3 linked regions of the Tamandua tetradactyla genome follow. The main gene of each other region encodes a partner of the protein of the gene in region 3 in a complex. Links are inferred from orthologs where the notes say so. Each region holds a gene or a part of one and is shown on either strand. Other genes may lie near its edges.

Region 1 (7,727 bases), on a different chromosome or scaffold from region 3:
ACTAAATTTTTAATCTTATTGAATTTCAATCTATTTAAATGTAAATTCAAATAGTTCCACGTAGCACACGCTACCACATCTGATGGCACGTGGCTAGGTTCTCCTGGACCCTCACTCTTAAGGACTGGTGACAAGCCCAGATGTTTCCTGTCCTTTCTGTGGGAACTCTGTTGCTATTTCTCCTGCTACTGCTACAAAAACGGGTTCTCCGGGTGGCTCCCAGCATCCCAAGAGCTCCCGCTCGTAGATGCACAGAGGTCGTTCAGGTTTGCTGAAGGAGGGTAGAATCCACCATTACCCAACAGGGGTGGGGACTAATTGGCAGCTGTTAAGAATGCTACTCTGTTTACACTCAGGTCAGAAAACGCTCATGAAATTCAAATCAAGGCTGCCTCCCCTGAGATTTTTCCCAGCAGGAAAGCCCTTCCCAGTCTAAACAACTTTTTTTTTTAAACCACTAAGATAATTATATTCTATACACAAGGAGAGGATAAAGAAATGAGCAGGAAAGTAGAAGTGGGGGGTGAATTATTAGGGTAGAAAAGTCAAAACATGGTGTAAGTCTGAGGAAACACCAAACAGCTCCAAGTACAAATGGAAGGAACAGCCCCTAAACATTTAAGAGATTTTGTGAGCTCATTCATTACTCTACATGAAAGAGTTCAGCTCATTTTCCCCTCAGTCTCTTCAACTTTTCCAGAGACACATTAAATTTGGGGGCTTAAGCATGTCCGGTGCTTCACACAGCCATTGGTTTGGGCCCGGTGGAGCTTCCATAATGAAAAACATGTGAAATTGGATCCACAGGCTTTCAGCCCACAGACCGGGCTCCATTCCCAAGGAAGGGCCTCCAAAATAACCCTCCAGCTATTACAGCAAAATGAACTGTCAGCGTAACTGACACCACGACACCCAGAAAAGGGACCCAGCTTTCTGTACCTCAAGTTCAGTCTCTCGTCTGTTGATATCATCCGTGGATTGATTTAACTTCTCCAGTTCTCCCTAGTGAAGGAAGGAAAGGGGGAGAAAAAAGATTTGAGGCATCGGTCTTTTGTTTCCAAAATAACTCAGCCCATAACCTGAAAACAATGATCCCGGCACAATTTTGTGGAAGAGGGGAAAGGTGGTATTCATTCTCAAGGGAAAAAGGGGGGCCTTGTCTGGAAAAGCAAATGAGTGTCCCATTTCTGAAGTTTTTTTCTTGATGATATCCTTTTTAAAAATGGCTTAAGGGCCTAGGAATTATCTGTCTTTTCCTATAAGGTCAAATATCCATTTCAGGTGGGTGCCTTCAGGTAAACTCACCTGTTATAAGCAGTTCAGTGGCAGAATCAAAACAGTACCTTCTGCCATAGAGGGAAGAAATAAGCATTTAAAAAATTTTGTTTTAAAACCTGGCCAAGCCAAAAGGATATTAAACCCAGTGAAATCATTTAAATCTGGACAGACAGCTGGCATGTCATCTGTGGTTGATTATTTTTTGGTAAAGAGATGAAATTCCCTTTTTTTTCTAAACTGCCAATTATTCAACCTACCTACCTCTAGTTAACTAGTTTTAATCCCAATCCTTTAAATTAATATTTGCAATCTAACATTTGTAAAAAAAAAAAAAGTAAGGAGCACGAACTTAACTCATCTTTGCTCTGCTCTGCAAACAAAGGATCTCGATAACAGGATTTCCCAGCAAGAACAGAAGCTATAGCAACCCAAACTGATGATTTGAATTAATCGAATCATTCCTAATTCAAGGCTTTTTCCACCTGATCTTTATCTTGCTAAACGGCCGAAAAACAATTCATTTAAACCCCAACCACTGAGTTCAATGAGCTTTTAATTGATCTGTGCGCTGAAAAATCAATTAGGGCTCCAAAAACTGCACAGCATGCTTTTTAGCAATATATATATTTAAAAAAATAAAAAAGAAAAGATTTATGGAAAGGGGAGAGTAAAACGGATCTTGGAAAGGGGGATTTGCTGTGTTTCTGCTTAGCGGGTGCAGAGGTTAAGTTGTCATTCATAGATGTCGGCTTGTAAAGTGTTTTTTAATCATCCCTCTTGGAAATGGAGGCATAGAAAGGCAGGCCAACCCCCTCACCGCCTGCACGCGTCAGCACTGCGCATCACTTGTTCCTGATTTCTGTTCACAACCGACCTCACAACAAGGAAAACCAGGGCTTGAAACCATTTCAGGCCAAGCGGAGGGTTGAACCAGCGGGGACACTACCCCGCCCCCCGTTTCTTGACAATGACTCAAAGGAGGAGAGAGGCGACTCTGGCCGGTGACTTCGGCCAGGTGGGGGCTGCGAACCCATGGCACCGGCGCCAGCCCACGCTGCAGGGGCGGGCAACGCCCACCCAGTCGAGCTCCCGGGCCCGCCCCCAGAGCCCACGCGGGCCGGGCAATCCCTTCTGCCGTCGCCTGCGCGATACCCGCGGCGCCGGGAGCCTGACGCGGGGGGTACCCCGGAAAGGGCAATGGCTCCTCTGTCCCTTTTTCCCTTTGTTGCCCATCGCCCGAACCCCCAAGATCCCGCCGAGAGTTTGCGGGGAAAGGGGGGGGGGGGGCCCTCGCGACGTAGTCAGGCCGCATCCACGCGGGCACTGCAGCCCCCCCGGAGAGGCGGGGGCGCTTGAAAACGGTGTATTCACACCCCCTCTTGCAGCCCTAGGATCTACGCGACTGCGACCCCGCCGACCGCGGACACTAGGGGCTGCGTGCGGATCCTCGGAGTGGAGGTGTAGACGCCGACCTCCGCGGCAGCCCTTGCGGAGAGGAGATCCCAGGGGACCCCCGCGCGCCGTACCTGGATCCGGGGGTCCACCTCTTCCTCCTCCTCCAGCCCCTGCTCCATCCCCTCTTCCTCCTCCTCCTCCTCCTTTTCCACGTCCCGGGCAGGCGGAGATAGCTCCGCCGGCTCCTCGGAGCGGCTCCGCTTCAACGCCGTTTCCATGTGGGCGGAGGTGCGGGGCGCTGCGGCCGAACCCGAACCTCGCGGTGGGCTCTACAGCGCCTCGAGGGGGTCGCGGCCGCGGCAGGCTGGGCCGAGCCTCCGTGCCACCGTCCGGGAGGCGCCGCTCGCCGCCGCGGAGCCCTCGGGCCGAGGCGGAGCGCAGCGGTGGAAATGGGCGCGGCCGCCCCCTTTCTGCCGCGGCCGTCAGCGCAACGCCGCCCGCTCCGCCCTCGTCCCGCCGGGGCCGCCCCTCGGCGCGGCCCTGACACCATTCATCTACTGGTCCCCATTACCCGGGCCTCCGTCACAAAAACCCCAGTTTCCTGACAACCCCTAGGCTGATGAAACAGGAGCGTCCCCACCACCACCACCACCACTTTTAACTTAGCAGCCCGAATAAATGACAAAACACCCTGCGTTAGCCCCCTGCTTTCTGGGTGGCTAAACTCAGCCAAGATAGGTTTAGGGTATGGGAGGAACGTTTGGGACATTTCCACTCTCAGAAGTCACCTTTGGAGACCTGTGCTCAATGCCCCTGGGCCAGTTTCAAGACCCACTCAAACCCTTGTACCCAAAGCATCTTTCTTCCTTTGGGTGAACCTTGTGAATTGCCTCTACTTGGAGATTTCCTCAGAAAAAAAGAACGGAAACATATGCTCTGTGCAGATGCAAAAGTACAAAGAGAGGAGCCGGCTGCAGGTCCATGCATGGATTCCTCTCCCCAAGACAGTGTCCTCCACTGGGAGGCTTGGAGCACAAACCAATCTCCTGCACTTTCATAGGTGTGTGATAGTCCTACCTGAATAGCCATGAAACATTGAGAACCCATTGAACATGGAAGTGGGTGGGATGATACAGCCTTTCCAAGGACGCCCCGAGTGTATTCCCTGTTGATGGACACACTCTAGCCAAGGATTTATGAACTGATGAGATGCCCTGTCCACCCTCAATAAGTGGGATGCCAAAGCTTACCTGGGAAACTCATCACCACAAAAGGCCAAACAACCGAAAGGGCATGCATGCGTTATTATGAAATGTCAGGGCCACTGTGATATCAGGAACACAAGGTCAGACTGCCTAGGGAAAGCAGGCTAGGGACATTGCCACTCATCACTCCTGATGTTTCCTTCTCGACCAAAATGGAGAAAGTATATGCTTCGTGCATGGAAGCTTGTGGCCAATGGGCTCTGTGAGTTTGGAGGACAAACTTCCTTAGGACCTTCTTTCTGAGAGCCTGGGGTTAAAGCCACCTGGAAAAACCTGCTTCTGGTTTTGCCAGAAGCTAACTTGAGGATGTTACTCCTGGGGCAAGGTGCCACCCTATCTGTTGACACTGTGGTCCACTCTCAAAGATTTGTCCTGTTCCTGCAAATAGTACAGGTCTATGCTATAGGCTTGTTTCTGTAAAGATCACTGTAGTAGAAGCTTAATAGTGATTGATCCCCATTGTAAAGGTCTTTCTCTTCTGAGGAGAATGCTGCTGTCAATATTTGGATTTTCATTTGGAGGCTCCATGTTCCTCTCCACACCATCATCTCCCTTCTCCTCTGCTTTGACCTGTTCATAGCTCTTTAAATCTGGGGAGAGTCCACAATTCTGTGAGAGATGTTTTGAAGTTCCTTGCTAAAAGCATAGTTGCTTTTGGCTTTTTGTTATCTCATGGCTCTATGGGTCAGAAGTTCTGACCTGGCATTACTGGGCTGTATGCTCAGGATTTCACAGGCTGGATCAGGGTGCTGTCCAGCCTGCATTCCTTTCTGGAGGTTCTAGGGCTAGGGAAGCATCACTTCTAAGACCATTCAGGTAGTTGGTCAAATTTATTTCTTTGTGGTTGTAGGACTAAGCATCTGGAAGCCACCTTCATTCATTGCCATGTGGCTCTCTCCATCTTCAGAACCAGCAACAAAGAATCCCCGTGTCAAATCTCACACATACTTCAATCTCTTCTTCAGGAAGAGCCCAGTCCCTAGCTTTAAGAGCTCACCTGATTAGGCCAGATCCACCCAGGAGAGTCTTCAATTCTTTAAGTCAGCTGCAGCATATACCTAATCTAATGAAGGAACAACTACCTCACCATATTCACAAGCCCCAGAAATTACACAGGGGTTTGCACAACAGGAGACAGGAAATGGAAACCATCTTATAATTCTGCCTACCACACATACTAAGAAGGCAAGCCATGCTATTATGTAAAATGCTTAAATATTTACTTTAGCTGGCATATCGATCTAGAGGAGTGGTTCTGAAAGGATGACCTAGAGACCCCTGGAGGTCCCTGAGACCTTGCAGAATATCCTTCTGGTCAAAACTGCTTCATACTAATTCTAAGACAATATTTGCCTTTTTCTCTCGCATTCTCTCATGAGTGAGCATTGGAGATTTCCATAAGCTACAGGACATGTGACATCACAACAGGTTGAATGCAGAAGCAGATATGAGAATGGATCTGATTTGCAAAAACATAAAACATTGCCTCTCTTCTCACTATTTTGTTTTGTAATAGATATTTGTCACAAAATCATATTTATGTTAACATGTGATGGACTTATTATTATTACTTTTAGATGACTTAATAATTGTTTGTTGTTGTTGTTGTTGTTTTCTTTTTCTTTTTTTTTTTTTTTTTGGCATGGGTAGGCCCCAGGAATCGAACCTGGGTCTCTGGCATGGCAGATGAGAATTCTGCCACTGAGCCACCATTGCACTGCTCAATAATTGTTTTTTAAATCTCAGTTTTCATTTCTATGCGGTAATGGCCAAGAGATGTAACCACATAAACAAAAGCTCTTTGAGATCCTCTAATAAATCATTTTTAAGAATATAAAGGGATCCAGACACCAAAAAGTCTGGGAACTACTGATTTAGAGGAAATGTATATTCTAGTTTGCATTGTCTATTTTAAATCTGAATTTCAACCTTCTACTTCCCTCCTCACTAGAAAAATACATACCCCCAGGACTCTTCTTGGCCATTGGTGAAGTATTTCAGGCACAGTACATTCATACCCATTTTAGATGAATATAAATATAATTAAACAACTTTAAATGATTGAAGAAATGGTTACATAAGGAGTAGCTCACTTGGTGTATCACTGGTTATTTTCTAGAATCTAGATTTTCCCAACTCCTATGCCAATGAGAATGCTGCTTTTGGTAGTTAGAGTCAGTTGTCAACTTGGCCAGGTGAAGGCACCTAGTTCTGTTGCTGTGGACATGAGCCAATGGTATGTGAACCTCATCTGTTGCTGATTACATCTGCAGTCAGCTAGGAGGCGTGCCTGCTGCAATGAATGATGTTTGACTTAATTGGCTGGTACTTAAATGAAAGAGCTCAACATAGCACAGCCCAAGCAGCTCGGCATACCTCATCTTAGCACTTGCAGCTCAGCCCAGGCCTTTGGAGATGCAGAAAGGAATCACCACCAGGGAATGTTGTTGGAACCCAGAGGCCTCGAGAGAAGGCCAGCAGAGATTACCCTGAGCCTTCCCACGTAAGAAAGAACCTCAGATGAAAGTCAGCTGCCTTTCCTTTGAAGAACTAACAAAATAAATCCCCTTTTATTAAAAGCCAGTCCGTCTCTGGTGTGTTGCATGCCGACAGCTAGCAAACTAGAACACTGCTCCTGCGGAGGAAATGACCAACTTTGTAATGCTTTGCTGGGAGTGTGGTTTCCAAGAACACACCTCTCCTTGTCAGGCTTTGGGTGGGCCTTGAGCGGGAATGGCACACGTGTATTGAGGCAGCCACACACTGTACGGTGTGGGCAAAGATGGGACGGCTGTTAAGAAACAGAAATCTTAAGAACAGCTTTGCTTGGACTCCGCACTCCCTGATCAATTTATTTTTAGTACCTCCTTGCAGTTTGTTTGAGTCCAGACATTGGGGGAAAATATGTTATATGTGTTTGTTCACTGCCCCACACTTCCTTAAGTTGTAAATCTACCTTGGTAAGAATCACAGCCTCTGCATTGCTCCCCGTTGCCATTTAAAATAGTGGGCTGATATGTGGAAGGAAGGAGGAGATGGTATCTGATAGGATGAGACTATGTTTATATATTCCTCCATTGTGGGTTCTTATTTGCAATGATCTGGTTTCTTTCATAGGATTCCATCAACCTCTCCTGTAGCCCCACCTCCTTATTGGTGGAAAGCACTTACAATCTGGGCCCTGTCCTCCCAAAATTATAAAACAAGCAGATCTCCGGCAAAGAGAGACCTTTTCCTTATTTGGTTCATACCTTGGAGAGATGAAATGCTTGGGGTGTGTTTTATTTCTGTAGGTGTGGCGACAAATGTGAATTGACTTAAGCACTCACAGAAAATGCTGCCATGTTCAAAGGTTGTCACTTCTGTCTTCGAGTGAAGGGGACCTCCAACTGTGTCTGCAATGCTCCTTGGTCTTTTCTGCGAAGAGGGCAACTTCTCCCAAATTCTTGAAACTGGGAAATGGAGGAATCAGAGAATGTGGGGAGATCTGCTGACTTCAAAATGGTGGGGTTGAGTTTAGGGCCGAAAGACTGGGAAATGGAAGGAGCGCGCTGGCCATTCACGTGGGAAAAGGAGCAGCATTTCCACTCCTGGCAACTGAGCAGGACCTCATTACCCACTGGGTGAACATGGAGCTCATACTCACTCTTCTGCCTTGAAGGGCCAGGATAATTTTATAGAGAAGCTGACACTGGACTTTGAATAATAAACAGAATTTCCTTGAACAAGAGAGTAAGATTTTGCAAAAGAAAGAAAGAAAAAGTGCTTTCCTGTGGTGGTTTGGAGCTG
Region 2 (7,388 bases), on a different chromosome or scaffold from region 3:
ACCCAGGGAGTCATGAGGCCTAGGCTCCGTCCCTCCATGCCACCAACATGCTGTGTGTTCTTGGGAAAGCAACTCAGCCTCTCTGATGTCCACCTCTCTCAAAGGATGGGGGCTTGGTTTGGATGAGCTCATTTCTAAGGTCTTTCTTGGTCTGTGACTTTTTTTCCACACACTCAAGTTCAGCTGCTCCTGGGCTTTCCCTGAGCTGCACCCCCGACCCCCAGTGGACTGTCCCACCCCCTTCACCCCACCCACCCAACTCCATTTCATTCACTGTGTTCATTTCTAAATTCTCTTTCCTAGAATTTTTAAAATAATGAATGTATATCACTTAAACTTAGTTTCCTTTATTTTGTAACTTCCAGAAGTAACCTATGCTCATTGTAAAAACAAGAAGTCAAACAATACAGACATAAGTAAAATAAGTGAAATCCCTCATCCAATACCATATCCAAGGGTAAGTAACTCGGAGCATTTCTATAATCAGAAGAAATAAAGAAAACAACGACTCCACACATATCTATTTAAAACAACCACGAGCACAGTCGCTGTGCCTCCCCCCTGGCCCCTCCACAAGGTCTGCTCCAGCGCCCTAGCCCTCAGCTCTCTTCTGGTGATTCCGAAATCAAACTGCCTGGGTTTAGATCTCAGCTTGGCCACCTCACCTGCAAACCAGAGCAGCGCTCTTCTCTTTCCATGGCTACAGTGCGGCCTGGCTGCCTGGCCACCCAGAAGCCCGTGGGGCTGAGCCGGGGCTGAGCAAGTACCCCCAGTGTCTGGCACTCACCACTGTTATTCTCTGATCTCCTGCACTGATTTTATCTTTAGTGAAATAATAAACCAACACAGTTACTGAGCACCTAGTCCAGGCACCGAGGATACAAGTGTTTAGGTACTGACCCCTCGTGCCTTCCAGGAGCTGACAGCAGAGCCGGGGCCTAGGAGCACAGACACGATAATAAGAACAGCTCCGTGCGAACGCAGCTCTGGTAGCTCAAGAAACTCTCAGGAGGTGTCGCCTTACCCAGGACTGCTCTGAGCAGGGCTCAAAGCCAGCGACTTGGAGAAGGAAGAGAGGCCCAGGGGGCTAAGCACCCAATTAAGAAGGCTAGGTGGGTTCAGACCCAGGCCAGCTGGGCCCATCAGTCCACCAGAGAGCCAGGGGAGAGCACTAGCTGTCTGGGGTTAAACCAAGTGAGGCCAAGTGCTGGGACAAAGGAAAGGACAGCGGGGGTGGTGAGAGCAGGCGGGACAGGCCCTGTGAGTCTTGAGACACAGACTCTTATTATTCCCACAAGCTGGCCTTGTCCTGAGGGCCAGGCCATGCCTTACCCTTTTTGTAGACCGTCGCCCTTACCCCATCCGGCCCCGAGTTGGACACACTCCCGGGCTGGTGTGCATCTAGCCAGCTGCTCGCATTAGGGCCTCCGTGAGATTCGCAGGCGGGGGTGGGCGGGGATGAGGAGCTCTGGACCAGAGGTGGGGGCAGGTGGTGGAGTGGACAGAGACACCCGGACCTGGGTTCTAGTCCAGCCTCAGCCACTGGTGCTCTCGAGGTCCTGAGGCAAGCCACTCTGCCTTCCTCTCAACTCCCTCACCTTTAAAACGGGCGGGCCAAGCCCCACTCACAGGCCAGGGAAAGACTCCGGGCAGTTACGAGCTACACAAAGGGCCGCTAGCAGGGAGGAGGCGCCCTTGCTATGCCATGATTTAGTGTGCATGACCTCATTTCCAGGCAGGGATTCATATTAACCAGCCCATTTCACAGACGGCACTCGGAGGAAAACCTCTGCTCAGGTCCCGCAGCTAGGGAGTGGCAGGTGCAGGATTTGAACCCAGGCCCCTCTGGCTGCGGGGCAGGCACACAGGCAGCCTGTCATGGCAGGTGGAGCCTTACGCCTCGGCCTTCCCCATCTGGCACCCCTCCCTCTGGTCCCCCCAGCTCAGCTGAGGGCCGTGGGGGAGGTTCCTGGGCTTGATGATGCCATTAGAGATCCCCAGGGGTCTCTGCCCACCTGAGGGCCAGGGAGTCAGCGACCGCCTGGTCAGAGAAGGGGCTGGCGCCATAGCCCAGCTGGGGCCTGCCTGGGGTAGGGGCCCCGGGAGAGGGGAAGGCGCCAGCTCATTAGATGGAGAAGCAGTGAGGCTTTTCTAAGCCCCCTTCCACAAGGCCCTGCACAGCTGCACCCCTCTTCCTCCTCCCCACCTGGGGGCCAGGATTACAGGGCAGGGACATCTACCCCTGCCCCCACAAAACCCACCCTTCCCTCCTCTGAAACCCACTTTCTAGTTCCCTAACAGCAACAGCAGGTGGGGGGCGGGGTGGAAGGAGAGTTCGGGCCAGGGTCCTGGATACCCCCCCCACCCGATGGCCCTGGCTATTCTGGCTCTCCAAACTAAGCTCCCGACCCTGGCTGGGCCTCGGGCCCCCGGGAAATACTGAGTTTCCTGCACCTAGACACACGCCTGGAAGGTCGGTGCTGGCCCAAGAGCGCGGGATCGTGCCCGGGCGGCCTGGGCGTTAGGTCAGGCGGGGCGGGAAGGGGCCCGCGACCTCCTCCTCCCAACACCAAGGAGGTCGGCCGCCCCAAGAACCCGGGGCCGGCGGGGCGCGGCAGCCTGCTCCCGTCTCCACGCCGAGGCTTCGGCTGGGCACAGGCAAAGCCCCACCCGGCCCGCCGCAGCCCCCGGGCAGGCGGCCCCGGCGCCCTCCCCCGATCCCGGCTCAGGCCCTCCGGCCCGAGGGCAGGAACGGCGGCGGCCGCGGCACCACGAGACGCAGCGGCTCGGGGTCTGGACTCCAGGCTCGGGGGGCTCGGGGGGCTCGGGGGGCTCGGGGTCCGGGGCTCTGTCTAGGAGGGAGGCTCGCACCCGGGGCCGGTGCGCGCGTGCTGCGCTGGTGGAAGGCAAATCAGATTCAGCTGACAGGGGGCGCGCGGGACTCTCACCTGAAATTGGGAGGCGACGCGATGTGCAACCCCAGGAACGGGGAGACGGCCGGCGGGGACGCGGCCCCCCCGCCCAGGCCACCGCTCTCTCGCTCCGCCATTCTCCGGCACAGCTCTGGCCATCCGGGCGGAGCGCGGCGCGGAGGAGGCGGTGGCGGAAGAGGAAAGGGAGGCGGAGGCGCGGCGACAAGGCCGCGGGCGTCGCGGGGCTCCTGCTGGGGCGGGCGCGGCGGGCGCGGCGGGCGCACCTGCGCAGGGCAGCGCGAGCTCCGGCCCGCGCACGGCCGCGGGTACTGGCGAAAACCCCGCGGCGCGCGCCCGGCCCGCCGGAGCCCCTCACGCCCCGCCCCGCCCCGCCCCGCCCCGCCCGCCGGCGCTCTCCGAAGTGCTGAAGTCACCGCCCCTGCGCCCCCGCGCCCCCGCGCCCCCGCGCTCGGCCCAGCTCCTCCCCAGACCCGACATCGCCCCCCTCCCCGGGCAAGGCCCGTGGTCTCCGGGGCGGACTCGGTGAGCTCTGTCCGTAGGGGCGGACCTAGCGCCGGGCTATCAGGTGCCGAGGGCTGGACCCTGGGTCCCCAACGCTCCGGTTGGCCCCGTAGCAGACGAAGGCCAAGAACGCTGGCGGGAGAGGTTCAGGGAGGAAGACGGAGAGGGGAGAAAGGATGCGCCGCCGGATGGCTCCTCCGGCAGTGAACTTTGGAGTCAGGTGGCGTGAATTCAGTCTGACTCCCCAGGTGACTAGGTGGGGATGGGGGCCTTGCATTCGTGATTGAACAATCCTAAGGCTCAGCTTCCTCACTTTTGAAATGAGGACAAGCACAGCCCCTCCCAGAGTCGTTTCGATGGTGAAATGTAGTATGTATGAATGTGCTGTCACTGGAAACCAGGCCTGTCTCAACACTGCAGCTCCTGCACCTTCCAGGAGCTCCAGGCCTCCTTCCTTCCTTTCCTGTCTCCTTATCTTGACCCCAAGGCTCCTCCCTAGAGGCCCTCATCTCTAAAGATTGGTCCAAGGTTGCCTTTGGCCCCCAACAGGTATTAATGGTGACTTAAGCCCTTCCTCTAGGCCTCTCAGCTTCCCCTTCGTGTCAGAAATCCCCCAGCTTCTCTCTCTTCAGCCTCAACTGCATTTCCTGCACACTGCCCCTCTTTTGGGTGGGCCTACCACTGGTTTCTCACACTCTAAGGTCGGGGCCTTCCCCCCTACCCAATCTGTCAACTTCTTGAGATTCGAACCCTCCACCCCTGCTAGGTTTGGGCTGTGGTTCCTTGTGGTCCTCTCCTCCCTCAGAGCGCACAGCCTGGGTTTCCAAGCCTTCAGGGCCCTGTGTAGCCTGATTGAGTTCTTTCACAGACCATGAGATGCTTGGCACTCAGGCTGCTGACCAAGGCCAGGGCCCCCATTTCAGTGGGTCAAGGCCTCTGGCCAGCCAAGAGAACCAGAGACCCTGTCCTTCACCTCTCTGGAGAAGAGGCAGAACACTTCTTCACAGCTTGCAAAATCCTATTTGCAAACCTGAACTGCCCACTGGTCATGCTGCCCCCTTTCCCTTCAGTGTAATTCCCAGAAAGATGCTGCTGGTATTTATCCTGCAGAAAATAAGCTCTAGCTCCAGCCCTGACGGCATCCCAATACCTAGAGCCAAAAGCCCTGGCTGTGTCTTTTCTCTGCCCCTGGGGCCCAGATGGGTGACCCTTTACCTTTCCTTCTACCTTGGCACAGGCACTACTCCTGAGGCCCTCCCAGTAACCAGCTGCTGCCATGGTGCCTGGATTTTATTTCAAGGAAAGCACTTCTGCTGTCTTGGCTAATAAACGTTCCATGGACTGTGTGCTGGTCTCAGCTAGGGCGGAAGGAAAAGTCAAGAGTGTGTTTGTGTTTGGACAACCCCTTTTCCTTGGTTTAAGAACAGAAGAATCTTAGTCCAGGGGCCAAGCCAAAGCCACATTAGAAGGAATCCCGAAGGGAAGGGCGCTCCAGGTTCTGGTGGGAAGAGGGCCAGCAGACGCTTCAAAGCAGGCACGAGAGTGAGACAGGCCCCAGGGCTCAGTCCCTCTCTTTCTCCCCTTTCCCATCTGCGCAGGGACAAAGGGAGCTGGAGGGCGGGCTGCCAACACGCCCAGTCCCCCAAAGCCCAAGGCAATGGGAAAGGCCGCACCAGCAGGTAAGCCACACACTGTCTAGAGGGTCCTCATGGCCAGACGCCCCGGGAAGAAGACAGCATCCAGCCCGGAACCAGAGGGCCTGCGTCCCGTCCTTGCCACAGAGCAGCAGCCCAACTGGTACTACTGAGGTAAAGGACGGATTGAGGGCCATGCACTGACTGTCTCCTAGCCTGGGGGGCTCAAATGGGCTACAGGCTGAGGCCCCGCAGGACAGCACGCAGGAACCTCATCCTGGGCTTGGCCTGCTCTGAATCCTTCTGGCCAACTGAACCCCAGCTCTGGCCACCCAGTTTTGCTCCAGTAGGTCCCCTGAGACACCCCCCTCCCACCTACCCCCTCCCACCCACCAAGGAGGGGCTGGAAGAGAACCAGCCTTAAAACCCCAGCCCCCAGACCTCTCATAAGACTAACAGCAACACAGCTTTGCTTAGACAGGATTAGACATTTATAAAACAACTGAATATTCACAAACCGTGGGAGAAACACACCTTCCCAATGATAAAAAAATCTCTATAAAGTGCATTTTGCCTGCGACCATCTCCTCCCCACGCTGGCCCCTGGATCAGGACTGGAGCATCGCTCTGCAGTAGCCGCCTGGTTACCTGTGCTAGAAGGGGGGCACAGCCACTGGACACACCCTCACCCCAACCCTCCCCTCCCAGCCCCGGAGTAGACTGCTGCACCCCACTGGAAGGTTGTCCTGGGGACAGGCCAGCATGCCAGGGATGGTAAAGTAGGGAGAGGTGGTTTTTTACTTTAGGGGAGAGAGCTATCATCAAATATAGGCAGGACAAAGGAATCATCCCGATATTTGAAGGTGCTGCTAAACAAATAACCGACTCCAGCCCTAAGCCCTCTTGCATTCTCAGTTTCTCAGACTAGCCCTTCCAGACTTACTCTACTGCCCTTCTGGCAATGGCTTCTGATTCTCTTTCCTCCTGGAGGCTGGGGCTAAGGAACAGGTAAGTCCCCAACCCCATTCTCCAATACACACCATCACATGTGCCCTGCTCCCCTCTCTCCACGCTTCAATTATAGGACATTTCTAGGAAGAGTGACATACATACAACAGTTCGAATCTAAAGGCAGCTTTCTGGCTGAGAAAACCTGAGGACATCTCAGGAAGAAGCCTGCCAATGCACTGGACAGCTGTAGGAGACAGGGGCCTGGCCCCACGGTTCTGGTCTGAGGACAGAGGACAGGGAGGGACAGGGCTCGGGCCAAAGCAGTTAACAGCTATGAGGCTAGGTAAGGTCACAGGGGAGGTAGAGAGGAGATGGCCTAGAGGCCAGCTTAATGTAGCATATGAGGACAAAAATCCGAAGAGGAATCAGCCTCTCAGCTATGCACATACGTGTGGGCACGCACACGCACACACACACACACGTACAAGCACCCCTGTGGCTCAAGGACAGGCCATAGGGTAGAAGGAAGACTTGCTCCAGTGAACTACGCAGTCCCTGCTTCGTTAAGACTTTCTTAACACAGGCCTTTGACAGTGGGAGGGGAGGGGAGGCACGGCCACCTCTGGAATGCAAGGCTTGGCTTCTCTGGGTCAATCCTCCCACCTGCTGCGCTAGCAGGGTTGGTGTGCTGGGTCTGTTCTCTGTGTGGATCTCTGTCAATTGTCCCTGGCTGTCCCTACTCAGGTCCACCTGCCTGGTTTCTCAGAGTCCAGCTGCATGCTGGATGCTAGCCAGCGCAGGGCAGGTCCCGGAAGCCTACCGAATGGGCTGGAATGGCTTCCCTGGCTGAACTTCAGCTGTTCTCCCTGGCAGCACTGTGGTGCCCTGGAGAGTAGCCAGAGGGGCCAGGGGACCTGATGTCAGCAGGGACCTGATCTTTTCCTGTGGAGGGACAAGTCTGACCCTGGCCCCCCCACAGCTCCTGGAAAAGCTCTGAGGCTGGCTCCAAGCTTCTGGGCAAAGAGCTCAGATTCTACTCCTAACCTGAAGCCCTGTGCCTCCAAACATGTGCTGTTTCAGTACCATGTCCCCACCACACCACTCACATATTTAGGTGTACTTCCACATGACGGTGGAAACTTCTCAGAAATTCCTATCTATGGCCTTGTGGCCAGTCCCAGACACCCAAGGAATGGTCTGAAGGACAGAGGAGTGGGGAGTTTTAAAATAAGAAAGAAGGCAGACTAGGTGGCTTGGTCTACTCCAGCCTGCCAAGCCTCAAGGTCAAAAAGCAGGAACTCAAGCAGGGCTTTCTGGCTGCCTCTAAAGTCCCATACTCATGACAAGAGCCAAAACTGTTGCCTTAATG
Region 3 (7,238 bases):
ATTAGCGTATGTAACTTGAGAAGTCCAAGAGGTGGGGATGATTTTTGGAAAGGTGAGAACCAGATATTCAAAATATACTTTCAAGGCCGTCTCTTTCCTTCTTGACTTTTCACTTTCTTTTGGGTTAATTTCATCTTTGGGTGGATTTTCTTAAAATGGTGGCAAAGATGGCTTCCCAAAGTTCTAAAACTATACTTTCTTACAGCTAATAATACCGTAAAAAGAAAGTCTCTTTCTCAGTGTCCATATCATACTTTTCCCCACCAAAAGATTCTGATTGGTCCTGTTTGGGTACAATAGTCACTTCATAGAGAGAGGAATGGGATACCCCTGTGACTGACAGTTCCATCAGTGGCATCAGGGGTAGTTCTCAAAAGGAAGAGAAGAGTTCTGTTACACAAGGGAAAGCAGGATGGCAACCATGACTAGGTTAAAATCAAACATTTTCTTCTATTAAGTGTTGATTCTTACCTTTAGATGACAAATTTGCTCCTATATTTTGGAGTGGATTTTACTATTTATGCAATTTTTTTTTTTTTGCATGAGCGGTCACCAGGAATCAAACCCAGGTTTCCGGCATGGCAGGCAAGAATCCTGCCACTGAGTCACTGTTGCACTGCCCTGGGTTTTACTATTTAGGGCTTTAATTCTCAATCTACTCTTTTCAGTAATATTTAGATGAATAAAACAATCTTTTACGTCTTCTGCATACTTCAGTAAATTTTCTTAAATTTAATTTCTTAAAATTTGTTCACGTAACACACATTGGTTTAAAAAGAAACAAAAAGTCACACCTAAGTAGTTCCCATTCTTTACTAGATAAAACCCAAACTCCTTATTTAAGGTCTTCAGTAGGATGACCCCAGTGTATATCTCCATTGCCATTTCCCAGTTCATTACAGTATGCCTGAGAGAACAAAGAATAATACATTAAACAAACAAACAAACAAATAGATATTGATTGAGATTATGGTGTGTGTCAGGCACAGCACTTATGCAAAGATAATTGCATCCATCATATACACTCCTACTGCTTCCATTCATTCTGTACTTTCCATACCGTATTTTATATTACTATGATTTTATGAATACTCTCTCACCTTATACTTGTCTGTGCCTTAACCCTTTTTATTTATCATTGTCTTCCAGGAACCTAGCATGGCATTTTATACAAGGAAAGCGATCAGTAAACATTTATGGTTAATAATGATCATTACTTTACAGCTATAAACTTTTTTTGTTTTGTTTTGTTTTTTTTTTGTTTGTTTTTTTTTTCTTTTTTTTTTTTATTAATTAAAAAAAGAATTAACAAAACAATTAGAAATCATTCCAATCTACATGTACAATCAGCAATTCTCAATAACATCACATAGTTGCATATTCATCATTTCTTAGTACATTTGCATCGATTCAGAAAAAGAAACAAAAAGACAACAGAATAAGAATTAAAACAATAATAGAAAGGAAAAAAACAAAAACAAAAACAAAAAAACAAAAACAAAAACAAAAAACCTATACCTCACATGCAGCTTCATTCAGTGTTTTAACATAATTGCATTACAATTGGGTAGTATTGTGCTGTCCATTTCTGAGTTTTTATATCCAGTCCCGTTGTACAGTCTGTATCCCTTCATCTCCAATTATCCTTTCTCTTTTTTTTTTTGTTTTTTTAATTAACGGAAAAAAAGAAATTAACCCAACATTTAGAGATCATACCATTCTACACATGCAATCATTAATTCTTAACATCATCACATAGATGCATGATCATCATTTCTTAGTACATTTGCATTGGTTTAGAAGAACTAGCAACATAACCGAAAAAGATATAGAATGTTAATATAGAGAAAAAAATAAAAGTAATAATAGTAAAATCAAAACAAAACAACACAAAACAAAACAAAAACCTCTAGCTCAGATGCAGCTTCATTCAGTGTTTTAACATGATTACTTTACAATTAGGTATTATTGTGCTGTCCATTTTTGAGTTTTTGTATCTAGTCCTGTTGCACAGTCTGTATCCCTTCAGCTTCAATTACCCATTGTCTTACCCTGTTTCTAACTCCTGCTGAACTCTGTTACCAATGACATATTTCAAGTTTATTCTCGAATGTCCGTTCACATCAGTGGGACCATACAGTATTTGTCCTTTAGTTTTTGGCTGGATTCACTCAGCATAATATTCTCTAGGTCCATCCATGTTATTACATGGTTCATAAGTTTATCTTGTCTTAAAGCTGCATAATATTCCATCGTATGTATATACCACAGTTTGTTTAGCCACTCGTCCGTTGATGGAGATTTTGGCTGTTTCCATCTCTTTGCAATTGTAAATAATGCTGCTATAAACATTGGTGTGCAAATGTTCGTTTGTGTCTTTGCCCTTAAGTCCTTTGAGTAGATACCTAGCAATGGTATTGCTGGGTCGTATGGCAGTTCTATATTCAGCTTTTTGAGGAACCGCCAAACTGCCTTCCACAGTGGTTGCACCCTTTGACATTCCCACCAACAGTGGATAAGTGTGCCTCTTTCTCCGCATCCTCTCCAGCACTTGTCATTTTCTGTTTTGTTGATAATGGCCATTCTGGTGGGTGTGAGATGATATCTCATTGTGGTTTTGATTTGCATTTCTCTAATGGCCAGGGACATTGAGCATCTCTTCATGTGCCTCTTGGCCATCCGTATTTCCTCTTCTGAGAGGTGTCTGTTCAAGTCTTTTTCCCATTTTGTATACAGCTATAAACTTTTGATCTCTAAAATATTAGTAAAAAGTGTTAACTTTTGGGACATCCCATATTAAAACAGGTAATCTCAGTTATGATATTACATATTTGAACTTTGTGTTAAGGTATAAAAACACCTTTACTAACTTTTTTCATAGTACTTTCAAAGAAACATTTAATCTAGAAGCCTGATTTGAATACTATCAATATCAATGATAAGAGTTTTTCACAGGAGAATTTTAAATGGATAAATGAATATAACTTCTTATTTTCAAAGGCATGGAGTTGTATTTATTATCTTTCGTATCCAGGTTTATTTATTTAATGGCATGTAGGTACTTTATGGTGGGACTTGAAGATATCCAAAAATATTTTTTGTTCTCCAAGCAAGGAAATCTCCCTTTCTTTATAAATGCAAACTTTGGAATGCTATATTTTGCTATATTTGTATAGCAAATACTTTGGAATGCTATATTTTGCTATATTTGTATAGCAAATACAAATACCATAGTAAGTATGGGTTTAGTTTTACAGATTTTTTTTTTTTGCCAAATGAACTCAATAGAAAGTTTTTTTTACAATCATTGGATCATTTAAATTTACTTTCAAGAAAAATTTGTATTTCTGATAATTTATAAATTATTAAGGACCAGATGATAAATCTGGAAAAACGTTATTGAAAAATTTCCTTCAAAATATTTTTAAAGGCTAAAAACTTGGGTAAGCTCGTTCTTTTAACTAGTGGAAGTAATAAACCGCTTTTAATCCAAGAAATTATTATTTGTGGATATTAAAACTATAATATACCCTAACGGGCAAAGGCAAGGAATATTAACAAAATTGAGATATTTCCCTCAAATAGTAATAATGCCCTAACAGGCAAAGGCAAGGAAAATGAACTAAATGGAGATATTTCCCTCAAATAGTAATAATGCAATTTACATTTATTTTCCAGAGAATTATTTGTGATGATAACAATAAAAACAACAACCCTGATTTGTTAACTCATATTATCAATATTTTCTTTCTACATTCAAATCGCAATCTGAGCATTATTAGTTTGTTGTGTTTTGACTTAGTGGGTATTTACTCAGGATTTTTTAAATGAGAAACAAGGAAACTGAGAAGAGGAACAGTGCAGTACAATGACCTCTGGGCAAAACTCAAATGCTTACTTCTCTAGGGTAATTATAATAGCTTGCTTGTCTTGACATTCAGAGATAGTGCATGTCTCTCTCCACACTGTTTGCAAAAAACCTGAAATAGTTGGAAAACAGAGATCGGATGCGTTTCCAAGGTGTTTTGTAGTCTGCGGGTATTTGCTCCTCAGAGCTGCTGTGAAAAGGACCAGAATCGCATCGTGGGGAATGTTTCTCTGGATTGTGCAGCCAGGCTCCCTGATGTCGTAGTTGCTGATACTGGCTGCCGACGAACCCTGTTCCTTCACATTTGCCTCGTCCTCACTTCTCCAGAAAACACAGGAGCTGTAGCCGCACATAGACTTTTTCCTCTTTCTCTTTCCCCCTCTCACCCCTCCCTAGACCTCTTTGGGCTTTGACGTCACGTGTGCTCCTTTCCGTTGCCATAGCAACCCCATTCCCCAAGCCCTCTGTCCGTCTCCTCTGGTAGGTTCCACAATGGTACAGGCAGCATCACGCTGCACAATGGTTTCCAGGCAGTGAAAGAGGGTGATTCAGCAAGGCACTCAGCTTCTTCTGTTGTTGTTTTAAATCTCCCCTTCTCTTTGTTTTTATGGGGGTGGGTGGTACTTGCTATATGCTTTCCTTTTTCTTTTCTTTTTTTCATTTTTGCAATTTTCCTTTTTTTTTTTTCTCCTCACCCCTCAATTCCTAGGGGGCTGTGAGTGACTTTAAGATGGAATTTTCTTGTAAGTCACCTGTCCATCATTAATTTTAAACAACCTCCCCACCGCCAAAGACTATTCCTTGTCACAGTTTGGAATGTGGTTAATGAAAAGCAACTAGAGAGGATTTCTGGGGCAAACACTGCCGGATCACTACCGTAGTTCTCAGACACGGAATGGTAGGTGGCTCTAAGCTCATTTCGGGTTCTGACTTGTTTTTGGAGGGTGGGGTGACGTCTATTGATTGTTTCTCATGGGGTGGGAGAGTGAGGGGTGGGAGAGGGGGGCGAGGTGGGGTGGAAAGCAGGTTAATGAAGTGAACTACCTCTGAGCCAAGAGGCCACCAGGTTTTTTCCCTGTGTGGAGTATCTTCCCTCAGACCTGGGTGTGCTGTAACCTTTCTGTTTGGAGTGAAGGGTGGCAGAGGGTGGGAGGGAGCATTCTTACTGTGATCAGGGGTTGTTAGACCAACGTAGAACTACAGAGGGAAGAAGAGAGAGAGAGAGAGGGAGAAAGAGAGAGGAAACATCTGTGCTTGCCAGAAGTGCCAGCCTCAGTCCCATATTTGAGAAATGCTATTCCTTTTTAATAGGAAATTAAAAAATAATGTCTTTAAGTGTGCATTAACTGAAATAAATATTTTATCACATATTCAGTAGAATATGGTATTTATATGTTTTAGCTGTAAAACTAGAGTCATTACTTTTACAGAGAGCCTAGGTTAAATTGGTGCTGGTAAAGGGACCATAGAACAGGGAGCCGGTTAGAGATAAGAGAAAAAATTGGCACTGCAGTCACATAGGTAAGGGGTTCCTTTAAGAAAGTGATCTCCTAGTCACAGGAGGCAGCATTTTTTTTTTTTATGGCATGGTTCCCAGGTATTCTGTGCTGGGATACCATGTCCCCTAGAAATGTCAGAGCTCCTTTGGTGAAAAAAGAAAAGAAAGGAAAAACATATATCATTAAAAACAAGCATAGCAATATATTTATAAGAATATGTGATATTTGAAAATCTTCAGGTAAATCATGATATAGATAGTACAATTAAAATTATATATATATCCTTTTTTTTTGTCCAGAAATTTAAAGCAAGACCGAATCTCTGTTTTTACCCTTTATAAAGATAACTTCCTAGGATACTATAATCTAGTCACAGAAAAAGAATGGCATATCTCACAGCATTCTGCTCTGAAGCAATCACAAGGTTGTTTACGTGGGCTGCCTTTGCTGCAGAGTCTGAGTGTCTGTACAGTAGCCTTGATCACTTCTCCTGTGCTGACTCTAACTTTTATGAAAAAATTGAAAAGAGGTTGGCCAAGTCATATGGGACAGGTCACGCAGTTCAGACTAAAAACAAATGCCTATAAATGCACAAGACACTGCCAGTCCAAAGTCCAATTTCTTCCTCCATCACTAATCTGCTGGTTGTTGGACTCTGAAAAGTCTCGTAGAATACCGATCAACATATTAGAAATGTTTGCAGGAATAACTGTTCCTCTCAGAGAGGCTTCTGCACATTTTCTACCCTAGGTGAGCATCTATGTTGTAAATGTAGATAGTGATGCTCACGAATGAGTTCACAAGTGTCCAACTCCACTTCAGAAACATTGGATTTTAGGTGCTATACAGTTTGCATGTAGCAGTTTTGTTGCCTCTGGTATGTACTCCCCGGTCTACCTTATTCTCACTCCTAAAATTGACTGAAAGTACTGGGTTAGCTTATTTTAATAGAAGGAGCAAACCGGTTTTCCCTGCCCCACATTGGTAGTAGAAAATCAGATATAAACTGTGGTATGACCTTAGGTGTTCAAGAGTCTTCCTGCTTCCTCATTTGTAAGCACTTCCCTGTTGCTGCAAAGTATCTTTAATTTGATGGGCTCCTTTTCTGACAAAATGTTTGCAGTTTCAGTAAAAAGGCTCCTGATGATGGGGCAGTAAGAAATTATATGCAGAGAGGAAAAATCAGCTGCCTCCAGCTTCCTGCTTGCTCACCGCAGAACAGCATCTGCTGTCGGGAGGAGTGTGTTCAGAGGAGGAAGGGGATGTTTATGAACAGATCTCAGAGGGATAGAGTGTGTTTTTGCTGTCATTGTCTGGTACATCTGCAGCTATTAGTATTTAATGGTTTCATAATACATGTCGATGTTTTTCAAGGTTAGGATGAACTGAGAGTTGATCAAGGATGCTACAGTACATGTGAATACTTAAAATTTACAGGAAAACCTATAGGTTACCCTAGTCAGTATATTGTATAGGAATATCATAAGCAAAAGGAATCTGCCTAACCTAAGTAACCCGAAAATGCTTTCCATGTGTAATGGCATATATATTTTAGAAATTTTATTGTAGCTTCATGTAAATGAATCTATTTCTTTGAATGTTAGCTTGGTTACAAAGTCTTTTTATACTGATGATAAAAGATAAAGACAAATTTGGGGTTTTCTTGTTTGTTAAATCTGGGGACAGAGGCTCACCCTTCCTGCTTTAGATCTGGCTTTGGATCATATTTATAGTTAAAGGACTTTCCTTGGAATTGTGTGCAAATTGAATATTGCTTAATTGCTTATCAGGATATGGGCTCAAACCTAGAGAATTCCTTTAATTAGATAAGAAGTAAACAAATTGACATCTTAAAAATTCTTCCTCTATTG

The links.
Region 1: the proteins of MAPK10 (region 3) and SH3BP5 are in contact, whole or in part, in a crystal structure (PDB 4H3B), measured with the Homo sapiens proteins. The link is inferred for Tamandua tetradactyla from reciprocal best matches to the Homo sapiens genes MAPK10 and SH3BP5. Residues at the interface, in NP_620448.1 of Homo sapiens: Lys121, Asp150, Ala151, Gln155, Val156, Met159, Leu161, Glu164, Arg165, Tyr168, Tyr171, Val197, Lys198, Ser199, Asp200, Cys201, Trp362, Asp364, Glu367; in NP_004835.2 of Homo sapiens: Val341, Val342, Arg343, Pro344, Gly345, Ser346, Leu347, Asp348, Leu349, Pro350.
Region 2: the proteins of MAPK10 (region 3) and MAPK8IP1 are in contact, whole or in part, in a crystal structure (PDB 3PTG), measured with the Homo sapiens proteins. The link is inferred for Tamandua tetradactyla from reciprocal best matches to the Homo sapiens genes MAPK10 and MAPK8IP1. Residues at the interface, in NP_620448.1 of Homo sapiens: Asp150, Ala151, Gln155, Val156, Met159, Leu161, Glu164, Arg165, Tyr168, Leu169, Tyr171, Val197, Lys198, Ser199, Asp200, Cys201, Trp362, Asp364, Glu367; in NP_005447.1 of Homo sapiens: Pro158, Lys159, Arg160, Pro161, Thr162, Thr163, Leu164, Asn165, Leu166.

What each region holds. Positions count from the first base shown.
Region 1 is NC_135341.1:73,336,552-73,344,278, reverse strand, and holds the start of SH3BP5 (SH3 domain-binding protein 5), read right to left. Parts: upstream 3,091-7,727; 5' UTR 2,952-3,090; coding exon 2,805-2,951; intron 1,003-2,804; coding exon 940-1,002; intron 1-939. UniProt on the Homo sapiens protein: Functions as a guanine nucleotide exchange factor (GEF) with specificity for RAB11A and RAB25. Inhibits the auto- and transphosphorylation activity of BTK. Plays a negative regulatory role in BTK-related cytoplasmic signaling in B-cells.
Region 2 is NC_135334.1:122,532,884-122,540,271, reverse strand, and holds the start of MAPK8IP1 (C-Jun-amino-terminal kinase-interacting protein 1), read right to left. Parts: upstream 3,092-7,388; 5' UTR 3,050-3,091; coding exon 2,949-3,049; intron 1-2,948. UniProt on the Homo sapiens protein: The JNK-interacting protein (JIP) group of scaffold proteins selectively mediates JNK signaling by aggregating specific components of the MAPK cascade to form a functional JNK signaling module. Required for JNK activation in response to excitotoxic stress.
Region 3 is NC_135350.1:40,818,559-40,825,796, forward strand, and holds the start of MAPK10 (mitogen-activated protein kinase 10), read left to right. Parts: upstream 1-4,176; 5' UTR 4,177-4,766; intron 4,767-7,238. UniProt on the Homo sapiens protein: Serine/threonine-protein kinase involved in various processes such as neuronal proliferation, differentiation, migration and programmed cell death.